Nothobranchius furzeri: one gene and its partners. The protein of the gene in region 2 interacts with the protein of the main gene of each other region in a pairwise test. Links are inferred from orthologs where the notes say so. Each region holds a gene or a part of one and is shown on either strand. Other genes may lie near its edges.

Region 1 (5,919 bases), on a different chromosome or scaffold from region 2:
CGATCGTGTCGAATGCTGCAGATAGATCCAAAAGTACCAGAACCACATGGAAACCTGAATCTAAAGCCAGAAAAATGTCATTAAACACCCGAACGTGAGCAGTTTCAGTGCTGTGCTGTTGTCTAAAACCAGACTGACAGGTGTCCATTACCTGATATTCATTTAGATGTTTCACCAACTGTGCATAGACTATTTTCTCAAGGACCTTAGATAAAAACGGTAATTTGGAAATTGGTCGTAGATTAGAGTAATCGGTGGGATCGAGGCCGGGTTTTTTCAAGATTGGTTGTAGAACAGCGTGTTTAAAGGCACGAGGAACTTCAGTTTTGCTGCTTAAACTCTGTTTAAGGTGCATTTTTGTCATAAGATGTAATGCTAATGTTTTGTTCATTACTTTTGAACAACTCTGTTGGTCAGTAAAGGGAGAAAACGAATTTCTCCACAGTAGGACAAAGGTACATCTACCGGTAATCTTAATAAAAACAGATTGGCGCACGGCAGTGACGTAATTAAAAGCGCCGGTTAGATTAGCCGCGGCTAGTCTATTTACGCCTAGAAATCCCAGACCCGCTCCAAACGAACAGGGGAATCATGTTAATGATTCCTAACAAAGCCTTTCGACATGAAGATGTTTTGGTGCAGATAATGTCTTATGTCGAGGCTGCACCATGGGTGCCCGTCCGCACCCGTTATATGGATATACACTGATGGCGATTCGCCGATGGATCTAAATACCCCAGGGAATCCAAGTAGCACCAAAGTTGTCAGCGTGAGTAAACAAACGTACTGCATGCTAGAAATTAAGACCGGGTTGCAATAAATGGGAGTTTCCTTTAAGCACATAAGCGTGAATATACAACTACGTGTCGGACTTGGTATGCTAGCTTAGCTAATACTAATACGTGAGCTCAAATTTGTTGGTGCAATTAGACACATTCTTACTAGATTTAATAAATTTTAGACACCTGTTTCATTTCATCATGCAGTTTGGGGTGTCGGTCTCTCAGACGCTTGGCCAAATGTGTTGTGCTGCTGGACTTCGTAGCGATCTCTTTGTAGCACTCCTTGCAAACGGGTCTGTCATGGTCTGTTGCTTTCCTCGACTCATCAGCCTTGTATCCAAAGTGTTTCCACTCTGCACTTTTGCTCTTTGTGTTGTCGATTAAGTTGGGCTGTGAAGCGCCTCCCGAATTCGCTGTTGCCATTGTTAACGAAACTTGGATCGGAGACAACTCGCGTGGGAAATAACAATGTAGCCATGCGGCGTCTTCTTCTTCTGTTTGTCCGGGAGGCGGAGGCTGCTTTACGGCATCTGGCTGTCGTGTGTGTCGGTGTACTTGAAGAAGGCTGTGTATATGTGAGACTCCATAATATAGATACCATAGAGATGGAATATGTAATTTAGATACCACCTTTAGTATCGATTTATATCTAGGTATTGATTTTTTTGACAACACTAGTCCCACCAAACCAGAACAGGTGAGTTTTCAGCTCCTTTTTAAAGGAGACCACTGACCTCAGGCTCTCAGGAGAGAGTTTACAACATTAGCTCTCTCTTTGCCTCCTAGCTCTGTACAACAAGATGATAGTGAGACCAGACGGCTCCGTCTTTCTGCCTAATCCTCCGGCATCTGTCACATGTTTAGTGTTGGTTATCAGAGTTGTCATTTCCTCACAGACAACAAGAAGAAGCGCCGACACACAAGAGAAGAGGCGCCTGAATCTCAGCACACATGAACATTTCCACTGATTTCTGGTTAATTCTATCATAATAATTCACATTAATGTAGAAACTTTTTGTTCACTCCTGAAATTCTTCATAAAAGTGTTTTTCACTCTGAAGAGAAGGCTGTTTATCTCGTCGTCTGGATAATGAGTCGGAGAATCCAGCGCTACCAACGTTTTATTTACACTCTCCATGCAGCTCGCTGTTGACTCACTAAAACTCTGTTCACACCCTGGTATTATTGCTGCTCGGCGAACACAAACCAATTTAAATGCCCTTTTTGCTCCGTTCTCATGCTGGTCAGGGTGTACAGACTAATTGGTTTTCCCATTTAAATACGAATGCTATATTGTCCTCAATTCTGGCCGTATTCGTCCAGTTCTGTGTAAAGAACACATGAAGAGCGCTAGTTTTTCATTAAGATTAAACGACTTCCTGTTCTCTCCACAGCCATCAAGGTGTTCTGCCAGGGCTCATGTGGGATCTCCACCAAAATGAACGACTCCTCGTGGACTCTGGAGGAGCAGTACTTCAACAGCACTCTGTCAGTAGCTGATAAAGGTAATTCGAGTCTCACTGGGATTCGAAACCTCCATGTTTAAAGGGTCTGCATTGTCACGGCTACTTTAGAGCCCGGAGGTAAACTCTAGCTTTAGCTTTCTCTTGTTTCTGTCCACACTGAGGACAGAGCCGTCCTTTATGGGATGTGAGTGAGCAAAGCAAACATTTGCTGTTGTTAGGTCATAGATTTACCAGGGAAGTGAACAACTGAAGCAAACACGGCAAACCTGCTCTGTAAAAATGTCTCCTCAGAACTAATCTTTGGTTTTAAACAACTCCTGAAAGTCCATGGGGTGTTTCTCAATGTCCAGGCGCCTGGCTTACGAGGACACGGTCCTTCCTTGGTCAAAGAAAACGGTTAAATGGAACAGACTTGCATCATGTGACCGCGGCTTCCACGGCTGTCACGTAACGTCACGTGACACGGGAGACAACATTATATTTTATACGTATTAGTTTCAATATAAATATATAACGAGCCTTTCAGATCACCATTGCATTTTCTTTAACTTGTCAGTTTCTGCGTCCCCACCTCCTGCTCGCCGTCTGGTTAGTTCTCGTTTTCTTAATGAGAGCACAGCTAGCAATTTTTCTGCTGCTTCTGATCCACCCTGTTCTTCTGATAACGACCCAGATTCCTTAACTTCTCAGTTCAACGAGCACTGCCTCTCCATTCTGGACAACATCTGTCCTGTCAGAACCAGATCAGGTCCTGCAGTGAACCCTACTCCCTGGTTTAATGACAGCCTTCGCAGCCTGAAGCGCTAATGCAGAAAAATGGAGCGTTTGTGGAAGAAAACCCATCTCCACGTCCATCTGCTGCACCTAAAGGATCTTCTGACGTCCTTTAACTCTGCAGTCAGAGACGCTAGGGTTTCCTATTTCTCCAACATGGTGTCCCAGAGCAAAGGGAACCCCAAGGTGCTGTTTAACACCATCAGCAGCATCATCTCTCCTGCCTCTCCTACAGCCTCCATCCACTCTGTTGCAGACTGTAAGAACTTTCTGTATTTCTTTGTGGACAAAGTCAATAAGGTTAGATCTAGCATCTCTCCTTCAGCCTTATCGCCGCCTCTCCCGACTCCAACCAGGCCCATCATCCTAGATAGCTTTGCTCCTGTTTTTTTTGCCTGAGTTAACCAAACTAGTTAACTCTATGAAGACCTCTGCATGCCCCCTCCACATCTTACCCTCATCTTTGTTTAAAAGTGTTTTTCAGTCCATCGGTCCCAGCGTGCTCTCTATAATTAATGCTTCTCTGGTTTCTGGTCAGGTCCCTGCTTACTTTAAGAACGCTGTAATCCACCTGCTTCTTAAAAAACCGAGTCTTGACCCCTCTCTCCATAGCAGCTTCAGACCCATCTCTAAACTTCCGTTCATCTCCAAGATCTTGGAAAAGGTTGTGGCTAAACAACTCACAGCTGCTCTTGATGAACATAACATCTATGATAGCTTCCAGTCAGGTTTTCGTAGAGCTCATTCTACTGAAACAGCTCTTCTTAGGGTCTCTAATGACCTTCTGACCCACAGTGATGCAGGGGACTGTTCTGTTCTGGTCCTGCTGGACCTGACTGCAGCCTTTGACACTGTTGACCATCACCTGCTACTGGAGAGGCTGAGAGACTGGGTAGGCCTGTCAGGATCTGCTCTGGAGTGGTTCTCCTCTTATCTCTCTGAGCGCTCCTTTTCTGTGGCCGTCTCCAAGTTTAGGTCCTCCACCACCTCTCTTACCCATGGTGTCCCACAAGGTTCTGTGCTGGGGCCTCTGCTCTTCCTCCTCTATCTGCTTCCTCTTCAGCACATCCTGAGCTCCTTCAAAGGAATCTCCTACCATCTTTATGCAGATGACATCCAACTGTACATCTCCTTTAAGCCCCATGAGATGTCTAAGCTGCAGCTGTTACACACCTGCTTAGACTCTATCAAAACCTGGATGGTGGGAGCTTTCTACAGCTGAATGAAGATAAGACTGAGATCCTCATCTGTGCCCCAGACAAGCTGGTTCCCAAAGTCAGAGACTCTCTTGGTCAGCTTGCTTCCCACACCAAACCTTCTGTCAGGAATCTTGGCGTGACCTTTGACCCAGCTCTCACCCTGGATTCTCATGTCAGTTCTCTTGTTGGCTCTTCCTTCTTCCATCTCAGGAACATTGCTAAGCTGAGTCCCATTCTGTCCCGCTCTGAACTTGAGACAGTTCTCCACACCTTCATCTCCTCACGCTTAGACTACTTTAACTCTCTTTTCACGTGTCTGAGCAGAACCTCCTTGAACCGTCTACAGGTGGTTCAGAACGCCTGTGCTCGGCTTCTGACCAAGTCCTCCAAACACACCCACATCACCCCGCTTCTCCTCCAGCTTCACTGGCTGCCAGTCAACTTCAGGGTTCATTTCAAGATCCTGGTTCTGGTCTATAGGGCCTTACATGGACAAGCACCATCTTACATTGGTGATCTTCTTAGTCCCTACACCCCCAGCAGGTCCCTGAGGTCCAGTGACCAAAGCCTACTGGTTGTGCAGCACCAGGCTAAAGGTCAAAGGTGACAGATCATCTGCTGCTGTGGCCCCCAGACTCTGGACCTCTCTCCCCCTGAGCCTGAGATCAGTGGTCTCAGTGGTCTCCTTTAAAAAGCAGCTGAAGACTCACTTGTTCAAGCTGGCTTTTGTATGACCTTCTTCACCTCTCTCTCTTTATTCTGCTCTCCCCACCTATTCCACCTTCCTCAGGATCCACTGATTTCCCTCTTTCCTGTCCACTCTCTCTCTTTCTTAACATTTTTAATCACAATTATCTATTGTTGCTAACTTTAAATATATTTTTAAGCGTTTTATAAATATTTTTTACATTTTTTGTTTTTGTGAAGGGCCTCGTGATTTGTATCTTGAGAGTCGCTATAGAAATGATATTTTCGTCTTCTTGTTTTACTTTTTAAATTGTGTATATGTTTATTAAGTAATAAATATAAGTGAGTTACTACCCGCTAGCCACCGCAGCTGCAACTACTAAGCTACTAACCAACCATAGATAACTTCTTTGGATCTAAAAAAAAACATTTTAAATTAGCTGACTTACTTTTAAACTTGAAAATTGTCCCCGAAGTAGCTGCCGGCTTCTGATCCGCCGTCCTTTTGAAAATACCGCAGTGTATTCTGAGTAATTTTTGACCAAGGCTAGGCTACAAGACACCTCCCGTGTATCCTCGCTCAGCTAGCTAAACGGCTAACAAACTGAGAACACACGCCACGGTAGAACATGAAAATTGGAACACGTGTTGGCGGCTCCTGATGACGTATCTCCTTGGCAACCGGGGCGGGGCCAAGGCATCAAGGCGAGGTTCCTTGGCATTGAGAAATACCCCTTGTTACCTTCTTTCCGTTTCTTTTCTAGTTGCGTTGTTTTTCTGTTCTTATCTTGTTACGTCCCTCTGGTCGCTAGGAGAGATGTGGTAGAGGGAGTAAGAGATGTTGTGTGTAGGTAAATAATAAGTTTATAATAATAAGAGTATTTTTGTCTCAAACAAAGGATTTTTATTAAACACAAAGTGCCTATAAAAGGGAAAAAGGGTTAACAAAAAGCGCCAAGCCAAAAGGGCTGGGAGGAGAAAAATATCTAACTGAAATATTTACTATTAGTA
Region 2 (5,919 bases):
AAACGGTGAGCTGAGAAGACCGTTTGCATCAGCGCAGCTCCAGATGTTTCACATGTCTACTACTGACCCATGAGCTCAGCAAAGCCGCCCAGAGGAAGCCTGCAGGTTCCAGTGACAAACTGCATGAGTCGCAGTCGCACCTCATTGTCCACTTCTTTCACCAGCTGCGGGGACGAAAGTGAGGACAAACTCAGTCATCATTACTGACCCGACTGCCCCTGCTCAGCTCTAGAGGACGGAGCCAGACTTTAACAAACACACGGAGAAACAAAGCCACCACGAGGATGAGCAGCTCTCTAAAACCTGTAGCACAGGTGAGGAGCGAGTACCTGCCAGAACCAGATGATCTGTTTACTGTTCCTGGTGTAGTGGCGGTACACAGTGTTCCTCTGCCAGTCCTGTAGGTCCACCTCCTGCATTCCACACAGCATCACCTAGATCACACACACACACACACACACACACACACACACACACACACACACACACACACACACACACACACACACACACACACACACACACACACACACACACACACACACACACACACACACACACAAGATGATAAGTAACCTCTATGGCGTGGCCTTGGACGGTGCGCGTCAGTGTCAGGTTATAATAAACGATGGAAGTTAAAAGTAAATGACTGCTCACCTCAAGCTCCTTTTCATCAAAGTACTGGAGCCACTGAAGCGGAACCACCTCATTGAATCCATCCAGGAAGGCTTTGGTCTGACCTTCGACCCCACGTGAGAATCTCCATTCTGCCATCAGACTGCAAAAACACAAAGCAGCAGAGCATTTCAAACGGAGCTGCTCTGAAGGAAAGCCAGAGGCGGAAGGGTTTCCTGTGATGAGAAAACAACCTGATGTATTCTTCTTTGTTTTCCTCAGTCACCAGGATGTTGGCGCCATCGGGTTTGAGGTCATGAGAAGTGATCTTCCCCAAGATCTCCATGTCAACTGAGAAGTACATCTCCAGACCACATTCCTCTATGTTGTTGTCCCTGAGGGGAGGAGATCCTGCTTATTAGGGGTGTGTCCTGGCAAGAATCTGGCAACACGACATATTCTGGCACGAAAAGTCAGATGATAGTCGCAATTTTTAGGACTAAAATTAATCGTACAAGTCAGTTCAGACACCTCTGGTGATTTTGTGAGAATAAAGGAGGAAAATCCTGCTGCCCCCTAGCAGTTGGAGTGTGAATTGCACCACACAATAAAAATTCTGGAAATGTTTGAATGAAAATGCTCAATAAAAATAAATCAATGCACAGCTTTTAAACACAGATTTAGTATCATGACATTTCAGTGTGTCGACAAGCTCATACTTGTTTCTTGTTTCAAATGAAAACAAAGAAACTGACTCAGAGCTGCTCACAACACTTTCAGGCTGTGGGTCTCCCTGATCCTGCCTCAGGCAGCTCTTCCCTCCAGTCCAGCAGAGAGGAGGCTGTTTGGTGCAGAAGTCTGAGGTGTGACCAGTGGAAATGTAAAACGTTACGTGCTAAGAGAGCTCTGGTTCAGTTTAGTTTAGTTTCAGGACCTTTATGTGGAAAAAGAACCCCCGGACTCGCCAAGTGAAGAGCTGACAGAGAAATGCAGCTCGTATGTGTAAGGGTAAACCAACATGGTGGCCTGAGGCTGTGATGATCTGCGAGGCCAGCAGGTGCTTGACACATTCTCTACATAAAGCCATCTATCACGACACCTGCCGTGGTTCGTGCTCAGGGTTTTTCCTGCGTTCAAATTTGCGTGGCGGCCACCTCCAGCTAATGTTGTGCCGCCCCAGCCTGATTTCACTCTGCCCCCAGCTATATGGATGTTATTTTAACTGCAGTTGCAGCGTTGCGCCACTACACAGGTGCTGTATCAGCAGCAGTGCACTAAAAAGCGCGAAAACCGCTGCAAAAAAAGATGAAAAATGGCTTTTCTCGCTAGTTGGTACATATCTTTGGTTGGTGCTATTGACGTCCTGATTTTCCCCCAGGCTCTTCCATATCAGAGTAGGGCTCAGTGCGACAAAAAAAAAAAAAACACTGTCTGTGTGTGTCTGTCTATTTTCCCCAGAACTTTATTGAACAAAAGTAAGTTACGTGTAAGAAAAATGCTTTTTACTGGCACACAGTGTGGAAATCTGGATGCAGTGGAGGAAAATAAAGGAACCAGCAAAGGCAGAACTGGTCCAAAGTTTGGGATCAAAAGTGCTGCTACACACAGATAGGCTAAAGCTAACAGGTAGCAGTCTCACGATCAAGTGGCGCACAGAAAAATATATGATGATCGAAAAACTAAGACTAAACTCTACAAGCGGATGAAAAGTCCCCACCATCCTGTTTATCCTGCATCCTGCAGCACTCTGGATCAGAACCGCTGCAGATACGAGTGACATTACTGCTACAAGTCTAAGGCAAGCCGTTGTAGTATATAATCCACAAACGCTTCTATCTCTGAACATAATTTGAACTGGATTATTGCCAACCCGTACATAATGGACATGCCACCATTACACTGTTAGCAGCAGAAATGAAATGTTATTACCATTTCCAATACAAATGCATGTTAATGAAATGCATTATATTTTACTGGATATATTTATGTGTTATTTTGACTAAGATGAGTGTTATTAATACAAACCTAAAATGTTACTGAAATGTAGGTTAAATATTTAAAAATATTTTTAACTATAAATATCAGATGGGAAAAGGGAACTAAACACCAATCTAATGCATATTATTGAGCCTTTTATAATAAGTCTGTTATTTCAGCCTGATCATTTTGTTGTTTTATTTCGTAATTTTTAGCAGCAAACCAGTTTTGTTTCACTTGAAATATTGTCAAATGGAATACTCTATTCATCAACAGAAGCTTAGATTAGAACACTTGACAAAAAAATATTTTGCCTTCAAAAAAGTGAGGCAGTTGAATGCACCGAGTATGCATGTGCTGGTGCATGGTCAGGACGGTACCACCTCTGCCTCCATTTGATTCAGGAAAAACCCTGTTGCTGTACCGGCTAGACCTGGTAAAAGTCTCATGGAGCTGGTTAAAATCTAAACAATTAATGACAAAGCCTGCAAAGATATAACTTATGCAACATTTTATTCACTTTTTTTTTCAGTTCTCTTTTATCTCAGTGATTTATTTAGTTCTGTTCCACAGTGTTAACTTAAAGATCTGGTACTCAGGAGTCTTTTTCATTTTCAACGTTTGAAATGTTGTCCTTGCTCTTATTTCCGATGCAGGTAGGGTTGTGGGTTCAAAAATACCTCCCAAACTGAATAAACGCCTATGAAGAGAAGAAGGGTTTGTTCAAACGGACTCTAAACATGGAGCACTGAGCACATTTGTTCATAATGGGATGCTTTTTCTCTCAGAAATCACGTGAATGAACAAAATCCTTTCAGTAATATTTTAAAAGAACTTTCCTCTTGAAGGAATCTTGAAGGTGATTCGTAACACCCGTAACCTGCATGTCTATCGGCCACACCAAACGATGCTACAGCCCTGATGTTTACCTGATCCATATGAGTGAGTTGTAGAATTCTGGGTCGATGGACTCCAGGTCTTTAAGGATCAGCTTCTTGTTCAGCATGCGTTTGTAGAAAGGCAAGGAGAAGCCCGTGTCGATGAACTTCCCGTGGAAAAGGGCCTACAGGAACACAAGAGATGACTAATTACAGAAATACAGATTATGTGCAGGTTCGTGCATAAAAGTGAAAACATATGAATGGCTGCTGATTGAAAAACATCCGGAAATTAAAGCTGCAATAAAAAAATCTGCAAAACTGGCTAACTTTTAAACACAAAGACAGTCAGAGAACTCTCACCCTTCTTGTCAGCCATCATCCCTAGGCCACTCCCCCCTGATATGGGAACCCGCATTGTCAGAGAGAGTGCTAAACACCAGTCACCAGTTTCTAGATCCAAGCATTTTTTGTTGTCTGTGACTTCAAATGGTGTTTTTCTTTCTGGTAGTTTGTCCTAAAGTTGAAGTGGTAGCAGCCACCTGTTTCTGATTCTCTGATGTTATTGAGCGGAGAACCTCTCACACCAGTGGTATTCTGATGCTAAATAACTGAGTGTGTGTGATGAATGGAGGACCCAGGGAAATGCAGCAGTTCAGTGAGCCAGTGTTGGACAGCCGTCTTCTGACCAGACACCGCACTAAACAGTTTTGTGGGACAGTTAGGTGTCCTAGGGGGAGCTCTCTATGAGCTGTTAGCTGTTTATTGTGTCAGTAGCTAAAATAAAGAGTAGCAGTTGGCAAACAGTGAATAAATAGCTCAAGAAGAAAACTCAATTCTGTTGGCATCATGGCAGAGCCTGGAAGTAGGAGAGTAGTGTCTCTGGAGGAGAAGCAAAGAGCTAAAAGTCGGCACAGCCTAAGGAGCTAAAGGAGGCTATGAAACTACGGACCGATGGTGACCTGGCTTTGTTGCTACTGAACTTGTACGCAATAATATTTTGTACAACAGCGAGGATCGTTTTACTTTGTGGTTTATTTTAGTATTAGTCGGCTCATGTAAGTGTTAGCTTGTTTATTAGCCTTAGCTACAGCAGGCGGCAGGAGAGTTGTTTACAACTGTTGTAACTCCACTTTCAACCAGTAGGGCAGAGGAGCAGGAAATTCTTTGGTGTTACTTTAATACTAGTCATTACTTATTCCCAACCAATCAAAACCACAGACCCAGGTATGCTCCATCACCAAGCCCTCCCCTCTTAAACAAACATAAAACAAGAAGTCACAACAAGGAGACTCAGGAGAAAACTGTCCCATAAAAATGTTACAGTAGTTCACCAGCATGGCAACATTTTGATTTTTACACGTCTAACAGAAAAGAGACAACAGTCATTTACAGATTTAGCAGAGAGTTGATGAAAACCAAGCAACTAACTTGTTTTATCATAAAATAATAAAAGAAAACGGTCCAGCACTAGTTTGGATATTCCCAACACATCCTGGAACGTGAGTGGTGCTCCAACTCATTCTTCTTTTTTCTTGTCCTCACGTCCAACATGTTAGCATTAGCAGTAGTTTGGGTTAGCTTTACTGCCACCAGCATTTATTTATTTGCCGACGCTGAAGTGGGTTGGGACACGCGTTGTGTGTGTGGGAGGTGTTGATCCAAGCTTATGAAGTGTTCTCCACAGCCACTTCAACATGACTCATTTACCAAGGAGAGCGCGTCAGAGATGGCTCAGGCTTTTGGTACATCGGACACCCCAAGCTGCCTTTATTCAACAACAAGGTAAATGTGGCTTTAGATTCTGGGATCCCTTTAACACCTCCCATCCTTACAGGGCTGGTGTGTAAGAGCCTGTTAAGGTACCATTGCGATGAAGCGTCCGATGAAGCAGAAGTAGGAGAGATGGTCCGGGTTGATGGCTGACGCTGGGTTGATCTGCAGACAGTAGTTGCTTTTCCCAGCATACTCAAACAGGCAGTACATGGGGTTTAGCACTTCATGGGACAACAGAAAGAACCACTCCCTACAGAGACAGAGACAGGATCAGTCAGATCAAACATTACTTCACTTATCTTTAACTTTAGAAAGGTTAAGCTACCGAGCTAGGCCACCATAGTCCAGACCCTCCTCGCCTCTGAAGATGACATAAAGCCTCCTCCTCAAGTCATAAGGTTTCAGGGCCATGATCTGAAACACAGACACACAGGATCAAACTAAAGCAGAAAAAACGTACTAGCAAACGTCCACCTCTTCAGTGATTAACAACAGAACAGCTGAAAGATGGCTGGAGGGTCTCACTTGCTGAAATGAGTCTTCAAAGAGTGTCTGTCTGGAGACGGTGATCTTCACATGGCTAGGGAGAGCGTTGGACTGGGGGAGGACAAGGAGGAGTGGAAGGGTGAGAAGAAGATGCAACGAGAGGAAAAGGGTAAGTAAAAGAGGGATG
Region 3 (6,392 bases), on a different chromosome or scaffold from region 2:
TGCAGCTTGTGGTGACATCACAGCAGAGTCCTGCAGAGGGTGGATTCGACACTCCAGAAGATACTTTCCCCGATGCATCGATAGAGCTGACATTCCCTGTGATGCTGATGAAAATATGTGGGCAGACAGACGGGAGCGTGTAGATATCAATGATTGATATGCAGCAGTGTCTGTTCAGTTTTTTTTTGTTTCATAACTACTGCAGTAAGGCTTACTGTGTAAGTGAGTTTATATTTGCTGTAAAATATTTGTTTTACTGTATTTCCCCAGTTGCACAATGCTGTGAACAGTTTCGATTAAATATTATCAAGAGTGCACATGAAGTGTCTTGATTTTCCTTTACAATTTATGGTTTTCAACATGCCGTGCATGCTGTCCAGACTTGACATGTCATTGGGAAGCACCTACAAAGAAATCCGTCACAATGAGAACACGTTCAAACCATTTGATTTTGTGACCAAAGGTGCCGGTGTAATCACTTGTAATTGTGACAGCCCTGACACTTTGATTGATATAAGTACTTGCCTTTGATGAATATATTATTTATTTTGATTAAGGGACTTGCTTTTGAAGCATTGACTACTTATTTTCAACAACTGACTTTTCTTTTTGATGAAGTGATTCACTTTTGCAAGTTATCCACCATGTTTTGCAGTTTGCACTAATTGTTTTGAGAAGAGCCTTAGTAGTGGTGCAGAGATCAATCCAGTTGTGAGAAATGCACCACAGCAACTGAGAAAAACTGTAATGAAATGCCATCCAGCCCATATCGCCCGTGTGGCCAGAATATCCCACCTGGCGCTGTGTAGGGGCCGGGGTGAGTCAATCCCCAGTAAGTCGTGGCAGATGGCTGATTATACTGATCCAAGATCCTCTTGAGGTTTCTTCCTGTTAAAAGGAGTTTTCATCTCCACTGTTGCTACATGCTTGCTTTGAATGAGGATTGCTGTAAAAGACACTGACACTAGGCAGTGTCTCAATACAATTTGCTGGGTTCCTTATATGGGAAAACTTTTTACTAATTGGTATAATGAATTGAATTGGTTAGTAATGTGAAGTGCCATGAGATGACTTGTGATTTGGCACTATATAAATAAACTGGACAGAACTGAGGTAAATTTAATAAAATATATTATTTGATCACATGCTCACCAGATACAAGTCTAGAAATATTAGGATACGTTTTTAAATATTTGTTCTTAGCAACATTTTCTGAAATTACTGGAACAAAATCAACGGAATCGATTAAGTAATTTCAAAAGGAAAGAACCAATCAAGAGGGAAACAATAGAACGTTGATGTCTCTTTGTGCTGTTTAATTGAAACCTTTGTCGCCCTCTTGTGGCTATGTTGTGACAATACAACTCCAATCCAGTCCAACACTCCCAATACTAGGCTCCAAATAATAAAACATTTGTACGTAAACGAGCTTTAAAGATCTTTAAACCCGTAGAGCACCACCAGCTGCTATCTCGTTAAAACACATAAATCATAGAAAATGCAATATTTCAGTGTGTCTTTTGTGTGACCAAATCACGACGTATTAAATATTTCTAGCTGTGATTGTTTTTCTTAAATTAGCTAAGAAAAAATTCTTAATTTTTTGATAACACGTTTATTGTAATGCTGATTTAAAAAACCCCACAAGGGTGCAAACAAACATACAAACAAGAAGATAATTAATATTTTTTAATCGCATGCATGGTTATTATAACATGTTTAATCTTGTAGTAATTCGATGGTCTGAAGACATTTGGCCACACACAACTTTGGCAACTCTCTAACTGGTCCACTTGATAACAAGATGTACTTATAAACAATATTTTAAAAATAAACACAAATTGTATTATGTTACATACATAAGGACATATTTTTACATATATAAGAACATAGTATTGTTATTATTATTAGATAGATAGATGGATGGATAGATGGATGGATGGATGGATGGATGGATGGATGGATGGATGGGTGCAAGTGTGTCAAATTTCATGTCTCCAAACCAAACAGATTTTCATTATGAAACTTATTAGAATGAAAAGTGGGTTATTTACTCGTGTACCCACAGCGGCCAGCAGGGGCGCGCCCTGAGGTTGCTTGTTTGTGGGTCGTTGTTGGGTCTGCAGACTGCACCGCCGCGCGGGTAGAGAGCGGCGGATCGGGAGAAAATGGCGGATGGTGTGGATCATATCGACATTTATGCCGATGTGGAGGAGGAATTCAGCCAGGTATTATTAACTCACGGCAGTTCATTCAACCGTGTTTGGTTTTGTGGAGGCTTGTAATCATTTGTTGGTATTAGAATTGGATAAAATCGTATTTGTATGCGAGTCTGTTGAAGAGGCCTTTCAGGGCGCTTGGTTGCAGCTCAGCTTCAGATCAATGTAGCCTTTGAAGTAAAAGCATTCACCGAGGCGTGTGTTTTGCCCAAGGGTTTATACAACGGGTACATAATTATTAGTATAATTTTACGCGAGTAAACAAGATTTATAGCCACTTATTCGTGTAGCTCCCTTCCAGGCCTCCGCGTGGTTTCCCATGGCGGACCAGCGAGTCAAACAGATGCTCCTACTGTTAGCTACTATGAGCTAACCTCGTAGGTTTTCCAAACGATCGTGTGAATCAGCTCAGATTTTTATGAGCTGCCACCCATTCGCTTTTAAAGTAAATGAGTGGGAATGCTCCGCAGTGCCTGGGTAAGTGCATGTTTAATTTAGAGATGAGTTGATAGAACATTTGTAGCACTAGCTTGTAGAGGCTGCGTAAAGAAGCAGTACATCCGGGCATTTCGCTGCTTACGCCCCTTCTTTCTGAGGGACAAACAGCCTCCATGATTTGAACGGTAATCAACAATAATCCCTCAATGTTCCTACAACAAAAGCACGACATACGCAAGCTAATTTGTTTTAATGCCAGGGCGAGGTACCAAAGACAACAAAAGGGTGGCGCTGAAATGTCTCACACGAATGTATAAAACAACTTTAATGTAGTCCATTGAACAGTAGTTACATCTTATAGGAATTTAATCCCTTTAAGTCAGTGTCCTGGTAACAACATGTATTGAAATTTTAACATTATCTCTCATATTTTTAACGTGACACTGAAAACCCATTTTTTTTTATTATTTCTGAACATGAAAACAGTCTCCTACACCTATCTCCTGCATCAGCTTCTGGTAGGAAATAGTCGGTGAAACTCTAGGATTTGAAAAGCCTGACAGATCTTCATCACACAGTCACTTAACATTCATGGACTCGCCCGTTTTGACTCGCGCAACAGGAAAGGTTGTTTCTGTTTTAGCATCCGGTAAACAGCAGGGAACTAGTAAAAGCTACCTGTTGGTGTTAGCAACACCACCACACAGCAGAACTCCTTCAAGCTTGTGCAGTTTGTGGAGATAAAACATCAGTGTCACACAGCAAGCAGTCAGTGGTAGAGTTGCATTGCTGTTGGCCAGTTTAAGGGAAATGTCCAAGTATCAGGAAATAAAACACAAAACCCTGCCGTCCGAAGCTCACCTCTGATCTGGCCCACTTCTAGTTCCTGAAACAGGTGCACCGGAGCTTTTTTCCCCCAGAGTATGACTTACTAGGCATTTATTCCTGCTAGAGACCACCGCAAATGTATTAAAAATCTAAGTAAAGTTGATCTTTAAATAATACAAATCAGTAAAACGAATTATAGTTTCTGTAAAGGGGGACTACTAATGATTTATTAAGCACTCAATATAGAGTAGATTTTTTTTATGTAAATAAACAATTTAAAGTGAAAAGAATGAAGTAGAAACATCCTGTTTTTGATTCATACATTTTATCATACCTCAGGAACCAGAGTACCCAGCTCATGAGCAGATCGACTTGTATGATGATGTAATCTCACCTTCGGCCAATAATGGAGATGCTCCTGAAGACCGGGAGTACCTGGATGCACCACTTGCTCCAGGTGGCTCGGAGGGGGGGAAGAGTGCACCACCCAACGCATACACCTACACAGGCAAAAGGATTGCCCTGTATGTAGGAAACCTCACGTGGGTGGGTATCGGTCATCTTAACAGCCAAAATGTTTTTATAGCATTCATCAGAAAATTTGGTAAGATCACTCAAATTTTGTTTTCTCTCACAGTGGACAACAGATGAAGACCTGACAGAAGCCGTCCGTTCAATAGGCATCTCAGATGTGCTAGAGATTAAATTCTATGAAAACAGAGCCAATGGCCAGTCAAAAGGGTGAGTGAGGCCATTGTTTTTGTGTTTGATTTAAGTATAACCCTTGTATTGTCTCCAGCTTCTCTGATTGCTGTGAGCATGATTATTAAAATGACTCTTGTGTTTGTCTTTGCGTTCTTCAGATTTGCTCTCGTGTGTGTGGGTTCAGAAGCATCATCCAGGAAGTTAATGGAGTTGTTGTCGAAGAGGGAGCTCCATGGACAGAATCCCATCGTTACACCGTGCAACAAACAGTCCCTCAGTCAGTTTGAGATGCAGTCACGGAAAAGTAAGTTTAAAGTTACAATGGCAGATCTGCAAAAGAACGTCTACCAACTTAGGGTAGCTACCAATCTATTGTGGAGATGAGCGTCAGTGTTTTTGATTTTGATGCGCCGATCCAATCAAGCGTTTGGAGTTTAGGCCCGATCACTTGATTTTCCGAAGATGAGAATCGTGTGAAAAAGATTGGATTTAACCGTATAAAACAACAAATGTAACTTTTAATTCTTCCTGAATAGAAATTTTCAAACGGCTTAGTTTTAAGAAGACATCTAGAGGCAGACACGGAGCCGCTTTGAAGAATACCTCGTGGAAAAACTCTTAAAGTATGAACGTTTTATTCACCGGTGACTGGAGGAGTGAAAAAATATGCAGCAAGCGTTCTTTTCGTGGATGGAAATGATGGGAAACGTAGGCTTAGAGGTGGCGAGTGCATGAAGAGGTGGAGTAGGAGGAGGGACAATTTTGTCCGTGTTAAAAAGTCTCGGAAATAAAATTTAAAAAACGCAATAATTATTAATAATAATAATGCATTGAACTTATATAGCGCTTTTCTAGACATCCAAAGACGCTTTTTCCACTCACTCTCACGTTCACACACTGCTAGTGATGGTAAGCTACTTGTAGCCACAGCCGCCCTGGGGAGGTCTGACAGAGGCGAGGCTGCCATTTGGTGCCGTCGGCCCCTCTGACCACCACTAACACAGGCAAGTTGGGTGAAGTGTCTTGCCCAAGGACACAACAGCAGGATACCCCTGGCGGGAGCTGGAGTCAAGCCCATGACCCTCTGATCATGAGGCAACCCGCTCTACCACCTGAGCTACTGCTGTCCCAAAATCCACTATATTGGGCCAGATACATGACAGGATACCTCAGAACAGCGCTACACCCTCTGTTGTCCTGGTGGGGAACAGCTTTGCAACACTCCTCAGGAGACGGAGAAGTCCGAACAAATCGCCTCTGTCCATTCGTGCGTGTCTCCCTCGTGGAGCTGACAGAAGTATAAATTAGGCTTAACAGCCACTTATGTGTGCATACTGGGCATTCAACAAGCTGGAAAAGAGAGCTGCATGATAAGCAGCCTTCAAAACAAACTACCTTCTCCTTCGGCCTTTTCCCTTCGGGCATCGCCACAATGACTCATCGAGTTGCTTTAAGTCCCAGTTCACATCTCTTTGTTTAGATAAGCCTGCTGGATGTAGTGCTGCATGCCCCCCCCCCCCCATCACGGGAACGCGCGTTACTCAATACAGCCGCATAATGAGGATGTAAACAATTTGACGTATGAGCAACTTTGTTACTTTTATATATATTTATAATATTAGCACGTTTGTTTTATTCGTGTACTTCCTAATAAGCAAGTCATGTTTTTTTTGTTTGTTTTTTTTTGGCAGAGAAACTTAATTATTTGGATGTTTTCCCATTTTTCTTACATTAATGCTGTGCTGAAGTATCGGATCGGGTCTCTGTATCGGTACATAGTCTAAATCAAATGACTCGGATCAGGAGCACAAGTTTATGTATCCATATATCATATCTAGTTTATTTGTCTACATAAACACAAGTAAAGACAAAGTTGTATTTGAAGCTGCAATGCTTTGCAGCCAGGAGCACATCCCTTGAATGAGCACAGGTATTAGCATCAACTGTGACAATTAATTTGCAGGAAAGAAGTGTGTCCCATTTATAGAAGTTTTTTTGCGTTTAGAGTTTTTGACGGCTTGTCCATGCAGAGCTTCCGTAGTTCAGTTACATCCATAGCTGCTAGCCAAAACTCAGTGGAGTTGAAGTCTTACGGATTTCTGGCTTTACTAAAATGTCTGTACTTATTTTGATTGGTGACAGCTTTTACTTTTTATTAGACTCCAAATGTAATCATTTGGCACGTTGCTCATTCGCAATTTG
Region 4 (5,468 bases), on a different chromosome or scaffold from region 2:
CTCCAAAAAGGGTGGGTACTCTGAACTGATATTTGGCCCATAAGCACAAACAACAGTCAGGACCCGTTCCCCGACCCGAAGGCGCAAGGAAGCTACCCTCTTGTCCCCCGGGGTAAACCCCAACACACAGGCAGAGAGTCTCGGGGCTAACAAAAAGCCAACCCCAGCCCTCCGCCTCTCACCCGGAGCAACTCTAGCAAAGTAGAGTGTCCAACCCCTCTCCAGGTCTCGGGTTCCAGAGCCAATGCAATGTGTCGAGGTGAGTCCGACTATATCTAGCCGGTACCGCTCAACCTCTGCCACAAGCTCCGGCTCCTTCCCCGCCAGCGAGGTGACGTTCCATGTCCCAAAAACTAGTTTTCTTGTCCGGGGATTGGACCGCCAAGGCTCCCGCCTTGGTCTGCCACCCGATTCACATTGCACCGGACCCTTCATGTTCCTCCTGCGGGTGGTGGGTCCACAGTTGGACGAGCCCATGTATCCGGTTCGGGCTGGGCCCGGCCGGGCCCCATGGGCGAAAGCCCGGCCACCAGGCGCTCGCTCACGGGCCCCAACCCCAGGCCTGGCTCCAGGGTGGGACCCCGGTAACCCTCCGGGCCGGGTACTCCGACTCTTCGTTTTAACCGCCATGAAAGATCCTTCGAAGGAGATGTACAGTTGGATGTAATCTGCAGAAAGATGGTAGGAGATTCCTTTGAAGGAGCTCTTGATGTGCTGAAGAGGAAGCAGATAGAGGACGAGTAGAGGCCCCAACACAGAACCTTGTGGGACACCATGGGTAAGAGAGGTGGTGGAGGACCTAAACTTAGAGACGGCCACAGAAAAGGAGCGCTCAGAGAGATAAGAGGAGAACCACTCCAGAGCAGATCCTGATAGGCCTACCCAGTCTCAGCCTCTCCAGTAGCAGGTGATGGTCAACAGTGTCAAAGGCTGCAGTCAGGTCCAGCAGGACCAAAACAGTCCCCTGCATCACTGTGGGTCAGAAGGTCATTAGAGACCCTAAGAAGAGCGGTTTCAGTAGAATGAGCTCTACGAAAACTTGACTGGAAGCTATCATAGATGTTATGTTCATCAAGAGCAGCTGTGAGTTGTTTAGCCACAACCTTTTCCAAGATCTTGGAGATGAACGGAAGTTTAGAGATGGGCATGTCCCTGTCAGCCTCTGGGGGCCTGCATAATGGCATTGTGTATCTCAATCGCTGAGCTGATGGAGAAGAATCAGGCTTCAGAAGTTCTCTAGTTCTCACTGCTCCAGTCTTAAACCAGATAGTGAACCTGTTGGATTGTCTTGGTCTGATATCAGCGTATCTGGAGAACCCAGAGGACAAACCGGTGTGCTGCCTGTATAATGTTGTGTCTACTTTATGTTTCTCCTTGCTCTGCTACCTTTAGGATGTAACCTCAAGATCTTCAACAACCAGGAATTTGCTGCCCTGCTAGCACAGTCAGTCAACCAGGGCTTTGAGGCTGTTTACCAGCTTACCAGGATGTGCACCATCCGCATGAGCTTCGTCAAGGGCTGGGGAGCTGAATACAGGTGAACCGTTCAGATTCTTCATGATTCTTGTTCCTCACCCTACAGCTGAGATGATTTCCTACTTTTGGATTGGTTCTTATTTTCTATGACAACCGAGTAGAACTGGTGCTTGTCTTGGGTTTGAATCCTGTCCAGAACAAACTCCATTATGGGGGCTCTGCCAATCCAGCACTGCACGCTCGATTTAGGTTCCTGCTCCTGCCAAATAGAAAAGAAGTTACAAAAACAACAACTTTTAATTGTGCAGATTTCACTAGAAGAGTGGAAAGTTTCACACAAAGGAGAAAACTACTCAGAGCAAGTCTAGTTTACATAATGTTAAGGGCCTAATCTCTAGCCTGTTTATTACACATCAGTCTGATGTTTTTCAGGTTACCTCTAACCACCGGTAGTTGATCTACATCCCACATTTGTTTTGTTGGAATCTGGTCCTTGAGTCACTGTTTAGTTTTGAATAAATATTAAGCCCTCACTTATTAGCTGTGCCATTGTGTAGAGATTACTGATCAAAGATGGACTCCCCACAGCATGGGTCTACACGTAAAAAGAGACAATAGAAGCACGCTCTGAGTCACAGAGCTCAGCCACCTCCACTCACACTCTGGTGAATCCTCAGGATGACGTCATGTAGCCCTCGTCAACAGAAACAGGCCCAGACTATTTCTAAACAAACACACATGTGCTGTGTCAGAAGAGACGTCAGACTTTCCCTCTTCGACTCTGAGATTTCCACATGGGTTGACTCACTGATAGTAAGAAAGGAGGAGACAGAGCAGAGGGCTGGCTCCATGCACTAGTTTCACAAACGAAAGACCTTTGTGCTGCGAGGAGCAGTCTACCAGATGCTGGCATGTGGAGGAACCAGGATTCACCTTTTCCAGCTCTGTTCCTAACCCTTTTGTTCCTTCTTAAATGTTCTTTACAGAACAAGTGTAGAAAGGAACACACATAAAAAACTACCAAGTTCAAACCTAAAAAAGGCAAATGCTACACCTACAAATATACCAAACACCAATGAAAGCAAAACTAAAGCAAAGCAACAGGAAGAGGATACGGTGACGCTTTTAGCAGCGACCATCTCAGCTAGCAGGTGTTGTTTAGAATCAAACAGCAGCTGCTGAGTGAAAACAGAAGCTGGTGTGATGTTTGCAGAACATCGAATCTTTTCACAAACCTGAGCCACTTCCTCCTGTGATGAATGGTAGTGTTACTGCTCACTGCTGACGCCATCATCTAAAACCTTTTTATTCCACTTTTAGCATCAAACTGGAAACACTGGTTTCATCTCATCAGTCACAGACTGTTTTCTCAGAGTAAGAAATCAGGACAAAGGCAGATCATGTAATGATCAAATAAGCTTCTTTTTTTTACTCTGCTGCATTTTAAAATATGATCTTAATTAAATGAATTTTTTAAAGTGTAAAACGGATCAATAATTGGTAAATAAACATGAACAACAGCAGCTATAAACATGAACACAAAACAGAATGATTCTTTATTTGCTGAATGAAAGCTCCTTAGATTTAGTCTTTTATGAACATTAGCTTAGGAAGAACAAGATCTGCTCTGTAGATTGGGGATTCTGTTGCTTAGCAACAGTAGATAAACACACCAGAAGAATGGGAACATTTATAAACAGGAAATTATCTCTTTTCATGAAGCTTTTCTCTCTGCCAGATGCACACAGATGAACCTCAACATGCACGTATCACATGTGATCATCATCTGATCCCAGTTCTGTTGCACCGGGACCATCAGCAGCACGAGTGTAGCGTGGCGTCAGCAGTGTTACTGTGTGATGTAGAAGTATAGATGTCGAGTTCCTGAATCCTGATTGTGTCAGTCCGCTCTCTCTCTCTAAACATCTGGCTGTCCCCTCTCTCCATCTGTTTCCTGTGTGTGTGTGTGTGTGTGTGTGTGTGTGTGTGTGTGTGTGTGTGTGTGTGTGTGTGTGCGTGCGTGCGTGCGTGCGTGCGTGCGTGTTTGCAGGAGGCAGACAGTGACCAGCACCCCCTGCTGGATCGAGCTGCACCTGAACGGCCCGCTGCAGTGGCTCGACAAGGTGCTCACACAGATGGGCTCCCCGAACATCCACTGCTCCAGCGTCTCCTAGGGCAGCATCTCCTCGCCCCGCCCACCCTCCTGTGCACCTCGTCTCCTCATCAGAGACACGAAACTTAAACTAAAAGATGACAGACTCTTCATTCAGCCACTCTTTATCGCCCACAAACACACACTTGCCATCAGAAGCACTTTTCACAGTTTGTGGCAAAAGGGGACAAGTGCATTAAAGTCGGACCGTGTTAGTAAAACCTGATGCTAGTTTTAATCTCTGAGGGCCAGAGAGGCTTTAGACTTACGGAGTTCTTATTTTATTTGCTCTTTGATTGAAAACTGTTTATGGTTTTGATCATCTGTACAGATTTTAAGATCAATTAGAAAAAAGAAAGAAATATGTGGATTGTGTTAGTCCCACATTTCTGAATCTTAAAACATTTCAGTTGACTTTTTTAGTATTTGGTCATCTGACGTTTTGGTGCAGATGTGAATCAGTTAGCCAGACCGAAAGTGATGCCTATAATAAAAGGAGACGGTTATGTTTACAGGAATATTTTTAGCTCTCGTTTCTTCAGCTTGTTAAACAGGAATGTTCATCTTCAAACGGGATCAGATTACAGACGAGCTGAAACATTCAAACCCGTCTAAAGAAACTGTCAAAGTTTGTGACACCGGTTTGACAGTAGATGAGAAGCAGCTGGTAGTAAACTTTAAAACTTTACTCAAGTATTTAGAAACAGCTAAACTTGCTGGAAGTAGCTGCATGAATGTTGAACTCTGGTTGAAAGTTGATATTCCGGTCTAAGGAGGTTGGGAAAACTCATCAAAGTTTAAATGAGAGAATTATGCATTAAAATCAGGAAGCTTTGCCACTTTTCAACCCAGTTTTGCTGCATTTTATGTTGTAATGAATAAATGCTTTTAAACTTGAACACATCTCACATACTTTAATGTCCTTCAGACTTCTAGAGCTGAGCAGACTTATGTGAACACGTAATGTGTGAAAACTGCAGGAAGGAGCGAGACTTAAGAGCAGCTTCTAACTGGTCTTATTTTAGCCACACTGACTTTTCACATAGGACTCAAGAGGGAAAACCGCTGGAAATAAAAACATCATTAAGTGATGAATCATAGTTCAGACTTTCAGGTGTGTGTTTTTTATAGCAGTCAGTTTTGTCCAGGCGGTGTGACCTGAGCGAACACACCACTGGCTGCTTTGGAGGCCAATTCTCTACTTGCTAACCGATTTCATCAAAGCTTCTGACAAAGGGAAACATGTAGATAAATAGAAGCATGTAAATATCAGTAGTGTCTTAAAATGTGTCCTTTTTTAATTTTCAGGTCTCTACGTTTAACACACAGATGTGTGTTTATTTGTGACCAGTATTAAATGAATGGGTTACGAGGCAGAAAAGTTTTTAAAAAGTTTCTAGTTTCCTGTGAAGCGCCCACTCAGGTGGAAGTGGATCAGTTTCCTTCTGTAACACTAGACAATAATGCCAGCCGGTCGGTGCTAATCTAACATGTTAGGGGCTAAAAGGAAACAGCAAAGATGTTTATGTTCATAGAATTTTATGAAATGTTAAAAAAGTGACGTGTGAACCTGAAAACTGAAGTGTGAGATTGTTTCAGAACCAGTAGCATCTACCAGTCTGGAACAAACCAGCGTGCCGTGTCCCTGATTCTGTTGGGATCTTAAACATGTTTAATGTATTTACCCAGTTGGGAAAAGGGTTTTTTATACACTCAAAAACATTGTTTGCTTTATCTTCCCGTGTTTAATAGGTGACTGTAATAATGAGCTGTGATTTACGCTCTCCTGCTCTGAATTGGTTTTTAGATATTTTATTTCCCTGCCTTTATTATACGGTTG

The links.
Region 1: the proteins of NEDD4-like E3 ubiquitin-protein ligase WWP1 (region 2) and arrdc1b interact in binary tests that used the Homo sapiens proteins (3 or more experiments, as listed by UniProt). The link is inferred for Nothobranchius furzeri from reciprocal best matches to the Homo sapiens genes WWP1 and ARRDC1.
Region 3: the proteins of NEDD4-like E3 ubiquitin-protein ligase WWP1 (region 2) and cpsf6 interact in binary tests that used the Homo sapiens proteins (3 or more experiments, as listed by UniProt). The link is inferred for Nothobranchius furzeri from reciprocal best matches to the Homo sapiens genes WWP1 and CPSF6.
Region 4: the proteins of NEDD4-like E3 ubiquitin-protein ligase WWP1 (region 2) and smad3a interact in binary tests that used the Homo sapiens proteins (3 or more experiments, as listed by UniProt). The two-hybrid records come from large-scale screens. The link is inferred for Nothobranchius furzeri from reciprocal best matches to the Homo sapiens genes WWP1 and SMAD3.

The regions. Positions count from the first base shown.
Region 1 is NC_091746.1:74,984,937-74,990,855, reverse strand, and holds part of arrdc1b (arrestin domain-containing protein 1b), read left to right. Parts: intron 1-2,176; coding exon 2,177-2,287; intron 2,288-5,919. UniProt on the Homo sapiens protein: Functions as an adapter recruiting ubiquitin-protein ligases to their specific substrates. Through an ubiquitination-dependent mechanism plays for instance a role in the incorporation of SLC11A2 into extracellular vesicles.
Region 2 is NC_091747.1:36,664,834-36,670,752, forward strand, and holds part of NEDD4-like E3 ubiquitin-protein ligase WWP1, read right to left. Parts: intron 5,844-5,919; coding exon 5,772-5,843; intron 5,661-5,771; coding exon 5,572-5,660; intron 5,497-5,571; coding exon 5,337-5,496; intron 3,656-5,336; coding exon 3,522-3,655; intron 1,011-3,521; coding exon 870-1,010; intron 779-869; coding exon 658-778; intron 435-657; coding exon 330-434; intron 165-329; coding exon 68-164; intron 1-67. UniProt on the Homo sapiens protein: E3 ubiquitin-protein ligase which accepts ubiquitin from an E2 ubiquitin-conjugating enzyme in the form of a thioester and then directly transfers the ubiquitin to targeted substrates.
Region 3 is NC_091741.1:47,839,805-47,846,196, forward strand, and holds the start of cpsf6 (cleavage and polyadenylation specificity factor subunit 6), read left to right. Parts: upstream 1-2,076; 5' UTR 2,077-2,168; coding exon 2,169-2,228; intron 2,229-3,824; coding exon 3,825-4,031; intron 4,032-4,122; coding exon 4,123-4,226; intron 4,227-4,348; coding exon 4,349-4,494; intron 4,495-6,392. UniProt on the Homo sapiens protein: Component of the cleavage factor Im (CFIm) complex that functions as an activator of the pre-mRNA 3'-end cleavage and polyadenylation processing required for the maturation of pre-mRNA into functional mRNAs.
Region 4 is NC_091749.1:43,543,204-43,548,671, forward strand, and holds the end of smad3a (mothers against decapentaplegic homolog 3a), read left to right. Parts: intron 1-1,392; coding exon 1,393-1,537; intron 1,538-3,526; coding exon 3,527-3,650; 3' UTR 3,651-3,872; downstream 3,873-5,468. UniProt on the Homo sapiens protein: Receptor-regulated SMAD (R-SMAD) that is an intracellular signal transducer and transcriptional modulator activated by TGF-beta (transforming growth factor) and activin type 1 receptor kinases.